Linked DNA regions of Drosophila melanogaster. The protein of the gene in region 2 interacts with the protein of the main gene of each other region in a pairwise test. Each region holds a gene or a part of one and is shown on either strand. Other genes may lie near its edges.

What was found. The genes of interacting proteins can lie anywhere in the genome.
Region 1: the proteins of nompB (region 2) and Nhe1 interact in a two-hybrid assay, tested with the Drosophila melanogaster proteins (one large-scale study listed by BioGRID).
Region 3: the proteins of nompB (region 2) and wac interact in a two-hybrid assay, tested with the Drosophila melanogaster proteins (one large-scale study listed by BioGRID).

The regions. Positions count from the first base shown.
Region 1 is NT_033779.5:103,462-108,981, forward strand, and holds Nhe1 (Na[+]/H[+] hydrogen exchanger 1), read right to left. Parts: upstream 3,272-5,520; 5' UTR 3,182-3,271; coding exon 2,508-3,181; intron 2,455-2,507; coding exon 2,051-2,454; intron 1,995-2,050; coding exon 1,930-1,994; intron 1,876-1,929; coding exon 1,544-1,875; intron 1,487-1,543; coding exon 1,012-1,486; 3' UTR 501-1,011; downstream 1-500. Other genes in the region: Creld (cysteine rich with EGF like domains), read left to right, coding at 55-302; Sam-S (S-adenosylmethionine synthetase), read left to right, coding at 5,225-5,348.
Region 2 is NT_033779.5:21,586,178-21,591,413, reverse strand, and holds the start of nompB (no mechanoreceptor potential B), read left to right. Parts: upstream 1-1,990; 5' UTR 1,991-2,058; coding exon 2,059-2,187; intron 2,188-2,240; coding exon 2,241-2,437; intron 2,438-3,995; coding exon 3,996-4,221; intron 4,222-4,272; coding exon of another isoform or gene 4,273-4,293; coding exon 4,294-5,014; intron 5,015-5,236.
Region 3 is NT_037436.4:255,937-259,597, reverse strand, and holds wac (wee augmin), read right to left. Parts: upstream 1,423-3,661; 5' UTR 1,207-1,422; coding exon 1,203-1,206; intron 1,193-1,202; exon of another isoform or gene 1,148-1,192; coding exon 835-1,147; intron 776-834; coding exon 601-775; 3' UTR 501-600; downstream 1-500. Other genes in the region: Tudor-SN (tudor staphylococcal nuclease), read left to right, coding at 1-95; DIP2 (DISCO interacting protein 2), read left to right, coding at 1,973-2,045, 2,397-2,468, 2,542-2,949, 3,005-3,384. UniProt on the Drosophila melanogaster protein: As part of the augmin complex, plays a role in centrosome-independent generation of spindle microtubules.

The sequences.
Region 1 (5,520 bases), about 21 Mb from region 2:
TGCTTTTAAGCAACGCATTGTCCACTGTATGTATTGCGCCTCCGATCATTTAAGATATTTCTGCGGAGCAACGCAGCAACTACGTAAGCTTTACGCGAATGCTCACCTACTTCGGAATGTGCGTGGCCACCTGTGTCATCTTCCAGAGCTCTACTCATATTGCCTGGGGTTGCATTGTTGGGGCGGCAGTGGCAGGGTACATTGCTGTTTCCGAGTACTGGATCAACTCGGAGGCAGGAGGCGGCCACCAACCCGAAATAGATACAAAACAGTTGGAGGAACTAATAATGAAGTCTTTATAAGTCAAAAGACATGTCAACATTGCTTTCCTTTTATGATATACACGAGCGTTTTGAAAAGCATAATCTTTTAACATTCCCCCAAGACATCTAACGATTTTTGTACTTCGTTTGCAGTCCGCAGTGATTCAAACTCCACGGTGCTCGGTGAAGAGTCCACGCACGAAGAATTGTAAAAGTAACCAAAAACGCACACCTTTTGTAGCCAATTTTACTTTAATAGGTAATATTATCAATTGATATGTAATTATAAATTAGAATTTCAAAAAGCAGGGCATGACCATATTTTTTTACACGTACCACACTTAGATATTTATTTGGTTTCAAAAATGTATAAAATCACAAATACAGCATATATTCGTATGAATAAATATTTTTAACTAAAATTACTGACGTAGTGTGCTTTTGTGACGTCCAAATTTTCATTTTGAAGACCATCTGTCGTGTGCAATGTAATACTGCTTTAAGCGGATTAATAAAGGAGCTACAGTGATACGAATGAATCATTGCATTTGGATCTTACAAAATGAAAATTTGTAAACAAAAAATATACACAAGATAACAACCATCACCGCGCTATATAAATAAAAACTCTAAAAATATTAACTAGAGGAACTTAAGCATTACATACGATCGTTCCCTTTGGCTTCTAAAGTTATCCAACACAGTCCGAAACGGATACAGAGCTCCCCCCACAACAGCCATTTAATCCCTACGACCGTGTCAAATGAATTTGACTTGTGCTGGCCGCTAGTCCTATCTCTTCGTCCGATTCATCTGAATCCAATGGACTCACTCGAATGGCTTGGTACCACTTGTTAGTCAGGTCGGCCATCTGTGACTTGCACTCGTGCAATTCCTGACTATTGAACCGACGTGTAAAAAACGGAATAAAGTACTTGCGATCCATGCGCCCAAAACGATCGCGCGCTTGAGTAAAGGTGACGTCCTCTTCCTCGGTGAGTTCAGACAAGTGTTCAGAGTCGATTGCCTGGCCCCATTCGCGAGTTTTCGATAGGGAAATAGATTTTGAACGCTTCCTACCGCTGCCGTTGCGTCGACCTCCCTCCTCAGCGGCATTCCTTCCAGAGCCGCGTGCCCGCCGTTTTTTTCCTGGCTTAAGGTACTTTAGCAGAGGCATTGTGGAGCCCCCCAGCACTAGCGTGGTAAATAGCACAATGATTAATCTGAAATTTTAATTCTTCAATGACTGAGCATTATTTTACAATCCGGAATATGCTTACGTTGTTGTTATGATGACGTGTCGTTTCTCCTGGCTGTCAAGATTCAAGTGCAAAGATAGCGCGTAGGAAATCGCTCCGCGTAGGCCAGAAAACCACATAATGAACTGCATCTTGTTATTGATCTTATGCTCGCGAAATTTGTTGACCAAGAACGCGAGCGGAAAAATATTGCAGGCGCGGCCAATTAAGCAAAGCACAATGGCCCATATAACAAAAGATAGTTCAACTTGGTGTTTAAAAGAAAAGATTGCTAATCCCAGATAAGCAAACACGCAGGTCTCAGCAATGAAAGCTAGTGTCCTCATCGTCTGCTGCATGGTAATTTGGGTAACCTACGATTAAAAAAGTTTTAATAATATATAAAATAGGGATATCATATGACTTACAGTGGATAGGTTGAAATGCGTGTAGTGGGACATGACGATTCCGCAAAATAGTATAGCCATAATACCTATAGTTGAAAAAAATGTTTAGCTTTTAGAGTCATAGTCAACAACATTGATATACCGCTTAAGTGTATTCCCTCTGCCAAGACGTAAGGTGCGTAAGTAAACATTAGCATCATCGCGAACTCGAGGGATGGATGCTTTCGTAAATCGATGTGCTTCAGAAGAAGAGCCGAAATTAGTGCAAATATGACTCCAATGCCCGCCGAAGCAAAGAACATCGCGCAAAAGGTCTTCAACGCGCTGAACATGGCTTCTCCAGTGCTGGCCTCAGCATTGACGTTAGCGGATTGGGTTATGGATGCAGTCAGCACAATAGATATGGCGTCGTTGAGGATGCTTTCGCCGAATACCAACATGTTGAGTATGGGGTCTACGTCAAGAGCATGGAAAATTGCCACTGTTGCCACAGGATCAACAGCAGAGATGAGAGAACCGAAGGCAAAGGATTCCGAAAAGCTTAGGCTAAAATTTAGGATAAATTATTGAATGAAATTGACAATTTATTTTAAACTTGCCGAAATGCCACCTCCCCCAGGCCCAGCAGGTAAATCCCCGCCCCGATGACTAGTGCAGAAATTGTTGTACCGAATATGGCAAAGACCAGTATGGATCCGATGTTCTGAAAGAAGTTTCCCTTGTGCAGATTGTAACCGGACTCGAATATAATGGGCGGCAGGAGCACCAGAAAGAAGCCCATGGGCGAGAAGACCTCTTCACGTTTCCAACTGCCATTCTGCCCAGACATAACGTTCAGCGAAAGGCCAATAAAGGCGCCCAGAAAGACTACCACAATGCTTTCTGGCAGGTACTGGAACCCGGTCTGGAGCATAGAGTGGATAAGCAGGATGCCCAACATGATAACGCAGATGACGAAAAACAGTGAGAGTGAGGAGTTGTGCTCCTGCTCGACAGCATGGGAATCGATTAGAGGCGGATCTGTGACCAATGTGGATGCGTTTCCCCTTTTCGTGGTGCTTGCATTACCAGATGCAGAAATCGAGGGCGTGACATTTCCAAGCGGACTGTTGACGAAGACATCCGAAACGGTGTGGATAGAGCTACTATTATCTGTAGTGGTGGTGTTGCTTGATGTTTTGCTTTGGGGCACCTCCTGTCCACTGATGCTTTCCGGACCCGCGTGCACCAACAGTAAGAGTGCAGCTGCACTATAAGCTACCCAAACCCTCATTTTTGCCGACAAAACGTGACGTGGTCGCTATTAACGCTCGCATTTAACTTTTCACTATTTGTTCAATTTGTTTTTTCACAAACATCTGTTTATCGCCCTATCTGACGTATATCGGGGAGAGTTGCCGTATCATTTTGGCTTATTGGCGCGTGCCTTTCATATATTCAAAAGAAAATTGTGCACTTAATTGCGTGCAGTATATTTTACCATATAATGAATTTATTTAAATAATTGGCTTTTGCCCAGTCATTGTAGCTGATAGCTCTTGTGAAGTGTCTTGAAAATTGAGCATTTTAAGTTTAAATATTTTTGTCTACGTATTGAGAACGTTTCTTACGGCAAAAAGAAAATTATATATGTATTAGAAAAGTGAAATAATAAAAAACCTTGTTATTGGCAAAGTGATAAATTGTTTAGTTAAGGCTATTACAATAACTGACGATAAATCAGTAAAATAAATGCATTGCCACAATCTACAGTTCGCAAGCACCCACCATTTGTGCTCAAGAATAATGTGCCCTGCGCATCTGTTCGTTCAGGCACACGCGATCTTCTTAGGCCCCGTGGGGTCACACCTTATTTGAAAGATAATGGGGCTTGTTGTTTTCGGTTATATTCAGTGGGTATTAGAATTTTAAAAAATGTACATGCAAAAACTGATTACCAGGCTCCTTGATCTTGGCAGACCTTGTTTGTCTTCTTGGCTGTGGCATGACGTAAGCACTTTTTCAAAAGCACAAATTGTTCGAATAGTATGAGAACCCTAATTGACGACTTTCCTTGACAAGATAGTGTCGAACGATCCATCTCCAAAAGGGCAGTCACTCCATGTTAGGGAAAAGCTAGGGTTTCAACAGATACAGACATTCGTTTAAAAATTCGCTTCGAATTGCGCTTCGTGTAGCGATTGTCTATATCATCGAATATGTATATGTCAATTGCTGTACATAAGAGAAGCCGAGAGAGCAATGCTAAACAGATTTTAAAAATTAGGTATATAGGTGGCTGCCGTGGTAGCACATAGTTTTGTTCTGATAAGCTCTTATTTCTTGCCGACTCATCTTCTCAAATGCTGTCTACAAAAATTTATAAATATTATTCGTCTGTAAAAATCATCCGCAGTTGAACGCAGGTTGAGCAGGAAGCTAGTCGAGACTATAATCCATATCTTGTCTGATCCTTTGTTCAAAACCACAGTGAGTATAAAATAAAGGATCTGGATCTAGATTCACTACAGTTCACTCCGGAGCGGGGTGGCAACGCTGGGCGGCGGAACAGCTGCTTAAAACCCAAAAACGTGGAGATACTGAAGAAGTAAAATCATTTGAGAGTACCGAGAACGCTAGGAAAGTTTCCCTAAAGAGCGCCCAAATAAGTCTCAAAATAATAATCGAGTCAGCCGAAGAGAACCGCCTCCTCCGTTTGCGACGATAAGCAAAAGCCCGCTCTCTCGTTGGAGGTATAAATTCTGAATGGCATTAAAAAGTTGCGCTCTTTTTCTTCAGAACCGTCGCTAAGATAGGACGTGTGTTGGCTGCGCCGCTGATTTGGTTGCCGTCGCTGAACCAGTATAACTCAGAATCAGTGTGTATAATTTGTTGAACTAATAGCTAGAACGTCGAACACGCATTTTAAACAGCTAGCAGCACCGAGCCCTCACCTAGCGACTAGTTTAGCTTTGAACCCGCTCAACGTGCGTCTCATGTATGTAGCGACGATTGTGGCAAACGCGCAGCATAAAAACATAAAAGAAGGGCGATTATATAAAAAAAACTATAACGAAAAGTGTGCGAATACCGGAAAATCCCAACAGCCTCGAGGCGGCCTATAGCTTAGATTCGCGAATGCGAAAATAGATGTGTTTTGCAAGAGTTCGGAAAATCAATTTCGTTAAGCGTTTTTTAACAACCGCTAATGTGGCCTCTCTTTCTCTCTGTTCCCCCAGCTCCACCAACAATTTAGCCGACCGGAACTCGGGTTATAGCACTGCTCCCCCATTGCCCCTTCAAACTTCGAGTTACATATTACAAACTACCCATCAACATGCCGCAAAAGACAAACGGACATAGCGCCAACGGATGCAACGGCAGCAATGGCAACTCATATGACATGGAAGACGGAGCTACATTCCTGTTCACTTCCGAGTCCGTTGGCGAGGGTCATCCAGGTGAGTGCTTCATTGCATCTGCGGCGCCTCCTATTGCATCATACCGATAGTGTCAGTGTAAAAAAAGAAACAATCTCAAATGCCCCTTCGGGCGTGGTGAGAGATGTTGCCTGTCAGTTCTCATAACCTGACCAAACTGATTCTCTAGCGTCTGAGGCCCTTCTGTCTGAAG
Region 2 (5,236 bases):
GTTACAGCTAACTTTTGTTAGCCGGCGCTCCTGAAAGGGCTGAATTAATAACGACCAAGGTGACAAAGGGGTTAATAAAGTCTATAAAAAAAAATTAAATAATTTTATTCTTTATTTACTGTCTACAGGCCGGAAGCGTTTTCTCTTGTACTTCAATAAATAGGAGTTTTTATACCCGTTTATCGTAGAGTAACTACTAGATTCGTTGAAAAGTATGTAACAGGAAGAATGAAGCGTTTCCGACATTATAATGTACATGTATCTGTATTCTTGATCAGGATCAATAGCCGAGTAATGTCCGTCTGTCTGTCTGTCCGTATGAGCGTGGAGATCTCAGGATTAAGCATGAATTTTCTAGAGACAAACCCGCAGCGCTAGTTTGCTTCCAAATATTGAAATTTTGAAAATTGAAATTAACAATATTTGATGTAGTTGTGATTGTGATACGTCAGCAATGTGTAGGTGTCTTGCTCTTAATGTTTGGGTCAAATCCCGAATGATACCCCTGAGTGTACTAAAGAAATTTATATTTATTTTATTGGAAAAATTTTAAACATAAAGTGGGCTTTAAAACTGTCTTTTTATTCTGTCTTTTTTCATTCTTCTCTCTGTAAACTCTACAAAAAAAAAAACAAGGGAGAATGCTATATTCGAGCATATATGTATGTATATAAAGTCTTAAGCATTTCCAAGCTTATCAGGAACAAGCAATGATCTACTCCTGCCTTTTAGTCGATTATTATGTAGCGAGTTAACCAAAGTCTGAATACTAGCCAACTTATATTACGTTTTACATAATACAAACTATAGACCACAAATAATGTATAAAAATCTAGAGGAAAAAATTGTGAAGCTCTTGGAGTCATCTATAGTTTTGGCCTGGCAACGCTCACCCAATAAATTATTGAACCTGGATACAAAATTGGCCGAGGCATTGAGTAAAGCCAAAGAAGCATTCTCATTGGATAGAACATTACACCAATTTCGAGACCAGCACGGTGAAAATGTTTATCACAACTTCGATTTGACATATGCGGTAAGCACGACTAGAAGGATAATTTAAAACTTTAATATATATGGACTATAGGTTTTTTTTAATCTCGCGGAGCAATACGAACGGAGTGAGATGCACATCGAAGCCCTCAATACCTACAGCATTATGGCCAAAAACAAGATGTTTCCACACGTCAATCAGCTAAAACTAAATATGGGTAACATCTACTACAGCATGGGTATTTACCAAAAGGCGGTTAAAATGTACCGCATGGCCCTTGATTCTGTACCAAAGAGCTTAAGTCAGTTAAGGCTAAAGATCCGTGAAAACATTGGAATCCTTTTTATTCGCATGGGCTCTTATTCAGATGCTGCTTCTAGCTTTGAGTTCATCATGACGGAGCGGGCAAACATTAGAAGTAGCATTCACCTCTTACTCTGCTACTTCGCCTTGGGCGATGTGGAGAAAGTAAAGTTAGCCTTTCGGAGACTTTGTGATGTCCAAACCGAAGCAATAGAATCGGATATGGAGAGTGAGACGAATATCATTAAACTTCAACAGCAGGCTGAGCCGATTCAACAATGTGGCGAAATCGACGTGCACCAGACAACGAACAAGACACGAGCTCGGTTATAAGCGCAGAAGGTGGAGGTAAACCATACGGTATGGTCCATACCCGTTTCTCGTAGAGTAAAAGGGTATACTAGATTCGTTGAAAAGTATGTAACAGACAGAAGGAAGCGTTTCCGACTGATAATAATATTTTAACAATTGAAATTGGGTTTTATGTTTTATATTAAATCAGATAACAATTAACTAAACTTATTCAAACTTTTATAGAAATGTCTTAGTATAAAATGATAAAATAAACCAAAATGATTTGGTTTAATAAATACCGCAACCTTCTTACATTATACATTTAATTGGTATTTATTCACCTCTTTTACGCATGTGCTGCTTATACGTGATCACCAAGGCAACTCAACCAAAACAAAGACCAACCCCCAAAACCGTTCATATTGATTGAGAACCTTATTATACGCGTGTAGTGCGGTGAGACAAAAATGACTTCTCAAATAACTGCTAACGGAACGCAAAGATTACCGGAGCCTGTTTCCGAACATGAAGCGGTTCCGCCTCCCCCACCCACGGCGGCGGGCAGACCCAGACCCCCCACTTCACAGCTTTTTTCAGTGAGTTTTGAAAAAAAAAAAATTTAAAACGCTGTGTAATTTCTGTAATTCAGCGCGGCAATCTGGCCAGCAGTCGGGCAACAGGAGGCGATAAATCAGGTCTTGCAAGACCATCAACAGCAGTCCGGGCTGTGGGCTACGCTGCTAATTGCGAGTCTGCTCATCAAAGGTTCGAACAATTTTTCCTGGAGAAGGCGAAGCAACAAACGCTCTCGTCAAGAGCCGCTGTGGATGCCATAAAGGATGTAAAGTAAGTAAGAAAATTATTTTTAGAGGACGGTTGCATCAAAGGGGTTATCAAAAATCGTAAAAAAAAAATAAATAGAAAGGTACTGAAGTTAAAGGTATACTGAATCTATATTCATGTATTTATTCACTTGCACCTTATAAACTTACAAGCATACAGAGGTGGTCAAAAGTATTTACACAACGTGCTTTTTTTCTGTTGTCAATTGTCAAGAAGTGGAAAAAATAACTGTTCATGGGCTAAAAATAGAAGCATTAAACTTGTCTGTTGTCAGAAGTATTTACACACAATTTTTAAGCTTCAAAATTATTTGCACAGTGCAAATTGAAGATTAGTCTAGTAAAGTTCTAGTTGATGTTGATCGCTTAATTGGAACTTAAACTAACTGTTAACAGTTATGTTAATAGATAAAACTAAGCATTAAATTTGTAAAATGGCAAAAACAAAGGAGCTATCAGTTGAGCATCGAGCCGAGATTGTCACTAAAATTAAGGCTGGTACTTCTGCATCCAAATTAGCTGAGTTATACAAAATATCACGTAAAACTGTGTACAATTAGGTAAAAAAAAAGGACATTGGATTGGGAATTTTGGAAAATAAAAAGAGAACTAACCGAAAAGTTGCATTGAACCCAAGAGACTGCAGACACATTATAGGAGTTGTACTATATAATCCCACCATAAGTCCCGTTAAAATTGCCGCAGCATCGAAAAATTTAGTTAGAGAACATATTAGCGATAGTACACTGCGTCGCAGAATGAAGGAAGTTGACATCAACTCCTATGTTATTCGTGCAGTATTTAATATTACCCCAAGAAACAAGGAAAATCGTCTGGCATTTGCCTTGGAGTAAAAAGAGAAGCCTCTCGAATTCTGGTTTGATATTTTATGGACTGATGAAGTTGCGTTTCAGTTTCAGGGATCCTTTAGCAAGCAATTTATGCATTTCCCAATACAACTAAAGGGTAATGCCGTTCAGCCAATCAATCGGTTTGGTGGTGTCACGGTGATGTTCTGGGGCTGTTTAAGCTACTATGGGTTTGGAGACATGGTACCGATAGAGGGTACAGTAAATCAAACAGGATACCTCCATATCTTAAATGAGCACGCATTGACCTCAGGAAATAGACTGTTCTCCAAGAATGACTGGATCTTGCAGCAGGGCAATGCTCCATGCCACAAGGGCCGAGTACCAACCAAGTTCTTGAAAGACATAAATCAGGCGGTACTTCCATTGCTCATATTCCATATAAAATATTTCGTTTAAATTCAATAAAAAAGGCAAAAATGAATTAAAAAAGCTGTGTGTAAATAATTATGAATTTTTTAACATAACATAATTTTTAAACATAGTGGAATTTAAAAATGTTATTTTAATTCTGTCTTTTTTCATTCTTCTCTCTGTAAATTTTACAAAACAACAAGGAAAAGTCTTAAGCATTTCCAAGCTTATCAGGAACTAGCAATGATCTGATCCTTTTAGTCGATTATTATGTAGCGAGTTAACCAAAGTCTGAATACTAACCAACTTATATTACGTTTTACATAATTCAAATTATAGCCCACAAATGAAGTATAAAAATCTAGAGGAAAAAATTGTGAAGCTCTTGGAGTCATCTATAGTTTTGGCCTGGCAAGGCTCACCCAATAAATTATTGAACCTGGATACAAAATTGGCCGAGGCATTGAGTAAAGCCAAAGAAGCATTCTCATTGGATAGAACATTACACCAATTTCGAGACCAGCACGGTGAAAATGTTTATCACAACTTCGATTTGACATATGCGGTAAGCACGACTAGAAGGATAATTTAAAACTTTAATATATATGGACTATAGGTTTTTTTTAATCTCGCGGAGCAATACGAACGGAGTGAGATGCACATCGAAGCCCTCAATACCTACAGCATTATGGCCAAAAACAAGATGTTTCCACACGTCAATCAGCTAAAACTAAATATGGGTAACATCTACTACAGCATGGGTATTTACCAAAAGGCGGTTAAAATGTACCGCATGGCCCTTGATTCTGTACCAAAGAGCTTAAGTCAGTTAAGGCTAAAGATCCGTGAAAACATTGGAATCCTTTTTATTCGCATGGGCTCTTATTCAGATGCTGCTTCTAGCTTTGAGTTCATCATGACGGAGCGGGCAAACATTAGAAGTAGCATTCACCTCTTACTCTGCTACTTCGCCTTGGGCGATGTGGAGAAAGTAAAGTTGGCCTTTCGGAGACTTTGTGATGTCCAAACCGAAGCAATAGAATCGGATATGGAGAGTGAGACGAATATCATTAAACTTCAACAGCAGGCTGAGCCGATTCAACAAATTGGCGAAACCGACGGGTACCAGTCTTTAAACAACGAACCAGTCACGGGCTCGGTTATTAAGGCAGAAGGTGGCGGTAAACTGAACGAGACCGTAAAGTTTGCAGCCACAGTGAAACATCGTTATGTTGTCCAAGCACTTAAGAAAGACGAGCTGGCCGTATATAGAAATGAACGTCGTAATGCCGTTAAACGATCTATTACAATGATTGTAGACTTAATATCACCTTTTATCGAAGATAACTATAATGATGGTGAGTACGACTGAGATAAAATACAGCAGGTAGGATAAAACATAAATTCAGGGTATTATAATAATTATTGTTGTATAATTATACCCGTTACTCGTAGAGTAAAAGGGTATACTAGATTCGTTAAAAAGTATGTAACAGTATGTAACCCAGGTTGCCATGCCCACTCTAACGCCCACAAACCGCACAAAACTGACACGCCCACACTACTACAAACTACGACGC
Region 3 (3,661 bases), on a different chromosome or scaffold from region 2:
AGTACAAAGCCGCGCAGGAAGCAGCTCGGGTCGCGCATCTGGCCATCTGGAAGTACGGTGACATAACGCAAGATGATGCGCCCGAGTTCCGCTAAAAGATGCCCGGAAACGTGGAGTAGGCCTGTGGCGTGGAGCGCGTTGCTAGCCGAAAAGATTGTCTGCCACATACCCGCCCTTTATATACATAACAACAAGCAAGAACTTAAAGAATATGAAATTACTAATTCTATCTATACACCAATATATATGATACATATACCACATTGGAAATACACAAATACATACATATGAGCAATGGCATGGAAGAACACGGTACACTTTTTGTATGCTTTAAGCAGCTGGCAAATTATTATTTGGTCTTCTAGTTTTCCTATCATGATACTTTAAATAAATATTTGACACAACCTAGCAACAATTGGAACGTTTTTAAAATGCGTACAATAACCAAAATAAGTGCACCCTCTGATTGTGTAGTGTTCCAAGTTGTAAACCTCAACATTCATCTTTAAAATTTGCAGATTTTATGTTTTTGTAAAGTGTTTTGCATTACTGAGTAAATACAATTAAATAATTTTTTAAAAACGAAAGCAATTCACTTCTTTAGCGCTGCTCCAGCGAATCTACCTTCTCGATGACACTTTCAATGCTAAAATCCTTTGGGATCTTAAGGGTTTTTTGCCGGTCCAGTAAGGCCTGTTTTGTTGCAAGCTGTTGGGCGTTTCGCTGCATTACGACGATATCCGGGATGAGCCGCTCTTCCGCAGCAGCATTAAATCTGCAGAAGAATGGTTTTGGTCAGGGATTCAACTATTAAAGGGATTTGTTCACCAATACCTCTCCAACATAACTACGTCCCTAGTCGCCTCCTCGATGGACGAGAGGATGCGCTGCAGCTCTACGCGTTGCTGCACTGTGGTCTGCCGGTTTTCTATGCATTCCCTCTTCTTGGCACAATAGAAGTCGCGCAAGTAGTTCAGATTGATGTCGTGAATGTGCAAAAGTGAATAATATTGGGCGCATTTGTCAAGGAGCGCCAGGTCATCGTCCGAGAAATCGCCCAACTCGACGCTAGCCAGCTTTAACTGGTCATCGAAGTGCTGGCCTAGACGCATCAATGAATTGACTTCCTCTTGGATCTTCAAGTTCTCTGCATCATAAGAATAATTAGTTGTATGCCTAGCGTTTTTTTTAAATAAACTCACGCATTTTTACTGGAGATGACAAGCTATCGATGGTTCCGAAAAAGATACTACCGCTTTGCTCAAAACGCAGGCGTATAGGCAGCCGGCTTAGAAACAATTTAGACTAAGTTGGCAGGACTTTGCTTTTCTTCGCCACTAATCGTATCCAGGTTTCGCATGTCTTTGTCTTCGTAATCCGAATGTGATAATAGGCGCCTTAGGTGCAGATATCGATAGTCTCTACAGTATTTCAGGGCTACCTAGCAAAATGCCACCAATTGCTTTTGTTGAATCGAATTTTAAGAGACAAGCGATTAAAGTAATAAATAATAGAGCTTTTTAATTGTAATGGTTCTATGCCTAATATCATTAAAAATAACACTTAAATTCGTGGTTCGATTACTTGGGCAGTGTGACCGCATCTCGAAAATTGAAAAAGGCCGTTGTCCCAAGAGTATGAAGAAATAGTTATCAATTTTTCGCTAGTTCATAAAATCGATTTGTACTGCTATTTTTCTTTGTTTACTTTCATTGTGCAAATTCGTAAAAGACATTCGTAATATCGTGTTTTCTAACTAACCCAAAGTACTGGTGCTGCGCAAGTACGGATGTATTTATTTGCGTCGGCAAAATGTGAAATAGAATAAATGGCAAATCGATCGATTTTTGACAACGAAGTGGGAAAGTAGCGGTGTCTGGGTGTGTTTGTGTACTGCGACCAGCCAAAGTTTAGACGAATCCTCCAAGGAAGAGGATAGAACAAAACCCTAAAGCCACACTTTTCATCTGCCATGGAGCACACTGCCTCGCTGCCTGGCTACGTCCGCGAGAAGCTCGCCGAACTGGACTTAGAGCTGTCGGAAGGTATACCTATTTGAATAATACACACAAAAATAAAATATTGTTGTTAAAGTGCGGCGACTGAGTTGTAGAAAATCGCGTGAAAACTGTGGCAGACGTAGTCTGGTCTGATTCAAATCATTGGATACTTGTCGCCCCCAAATGGGATTACAAGTGCTGTTCTCGGCTTTTCTTTCGCTGAAAGCTGCCCACATATAGTCGGGGACCGACCAATTAAAAGAAAAGTGTGTGTGTTGTGTTGTGTGGCTTTCAGCATGAATACATGATTCAGTCGCTACTCCACGCTTTTCAAAAAACGACGAGGCCCAGCGGACATATTAATCGTTAAGAAAACAATTCCATCTGCTTTTCTAGGTGACATTACGCAGAAAGGCTACGAAAAGAAAAGGGCGAAGCTGTTGCAGCCGTTCCTAAAGAAGCCAGAAGGTATGTTCGAAAACATTGATATTTGGTCGTTTGGTCGTCACCAGAAAGTTCTTGATCCTTTTGTTGTGAACAGGCGATAAAGTGAAAAGTACGCCGCCACCGCCATACTACAACGTTAAAAATGCCAACAACAGCACCAACCACGGAAACATCAATAACGACGGCGTCATTGTGTCCAGCGAGGGCTACAGTTATGTGACTGAAGTGCCCTCCCTGTCCTCCTCGCAGCAAAGACATTCCAAAAAAATTGACTTCCATCAGCAAGCCGCCATGAGCTTGTCATCGGCACCACAGAGCGGAAATGCTGGGGCTCCTGGCTACGAAAATATGCGACCGCAGGGTGGAGCAGTCGGCGATCCCGGGTATCAGAACACTCGCGAACCAAGTGCTTTTCAGAACCAACAGTCAACTAATAATAGTCAGCATCGTCAACGACGCACACAGCGCAAAGTAACGCACAATGAGAAACGTTATCATTCTGGTTAGTAGAACAAGTTACAGCAACAACATTTTATCTCTGATCATCTGACCCCTAGAAGTACGACAAGAGGCTGTGCAACAGGCCCTTGCAGCTCTTAAGGGACGGCCAAAACCCAGCCTTCCAATGCCATCGAAGCGCACATCTGTATTAAACCGAAGCCCTGGGTGCAATGATGAGCTGGACTCATCGACGGATGACGAATCCATACCCGAGGAGACAATTTCCCCCGACAAGGAGTACAATTATCCACGGGATCATATAAGCAATAGCATACTGCCACCAGAACCGATAATTAAACCTCCAATTCGTGAATCATCGATGGGTTCACAGCAGCATGCGAGGACAGACGTGAAACAGAACCAAATTACAAATCAAAAGTATACGGCGCCGAATAGCGCTCCAGAAAGGCGACCACCGCAAAACTTACCCCCACTTGTGAGTAATATAATAATAATACATTTAAAGAGGAAAAAAAGCTAGCTTCGACAATATGTTGATTGTGAATATTTATTGCAGTAAATATATACTGTTCAGATGTGAACAGACTAAGACCGAAATATATGTATTAAAAGAATTATACTCTTTAACTAGTGTATACAAATTTAAAACTTTTTATCATAAGAATCATCGAGACTATGATTTTTTTCTATTAAATTGCTTTGTATAATTGAAGTTAGGGTATATAAACTTAGGCAGATTGCATAAAAATGTA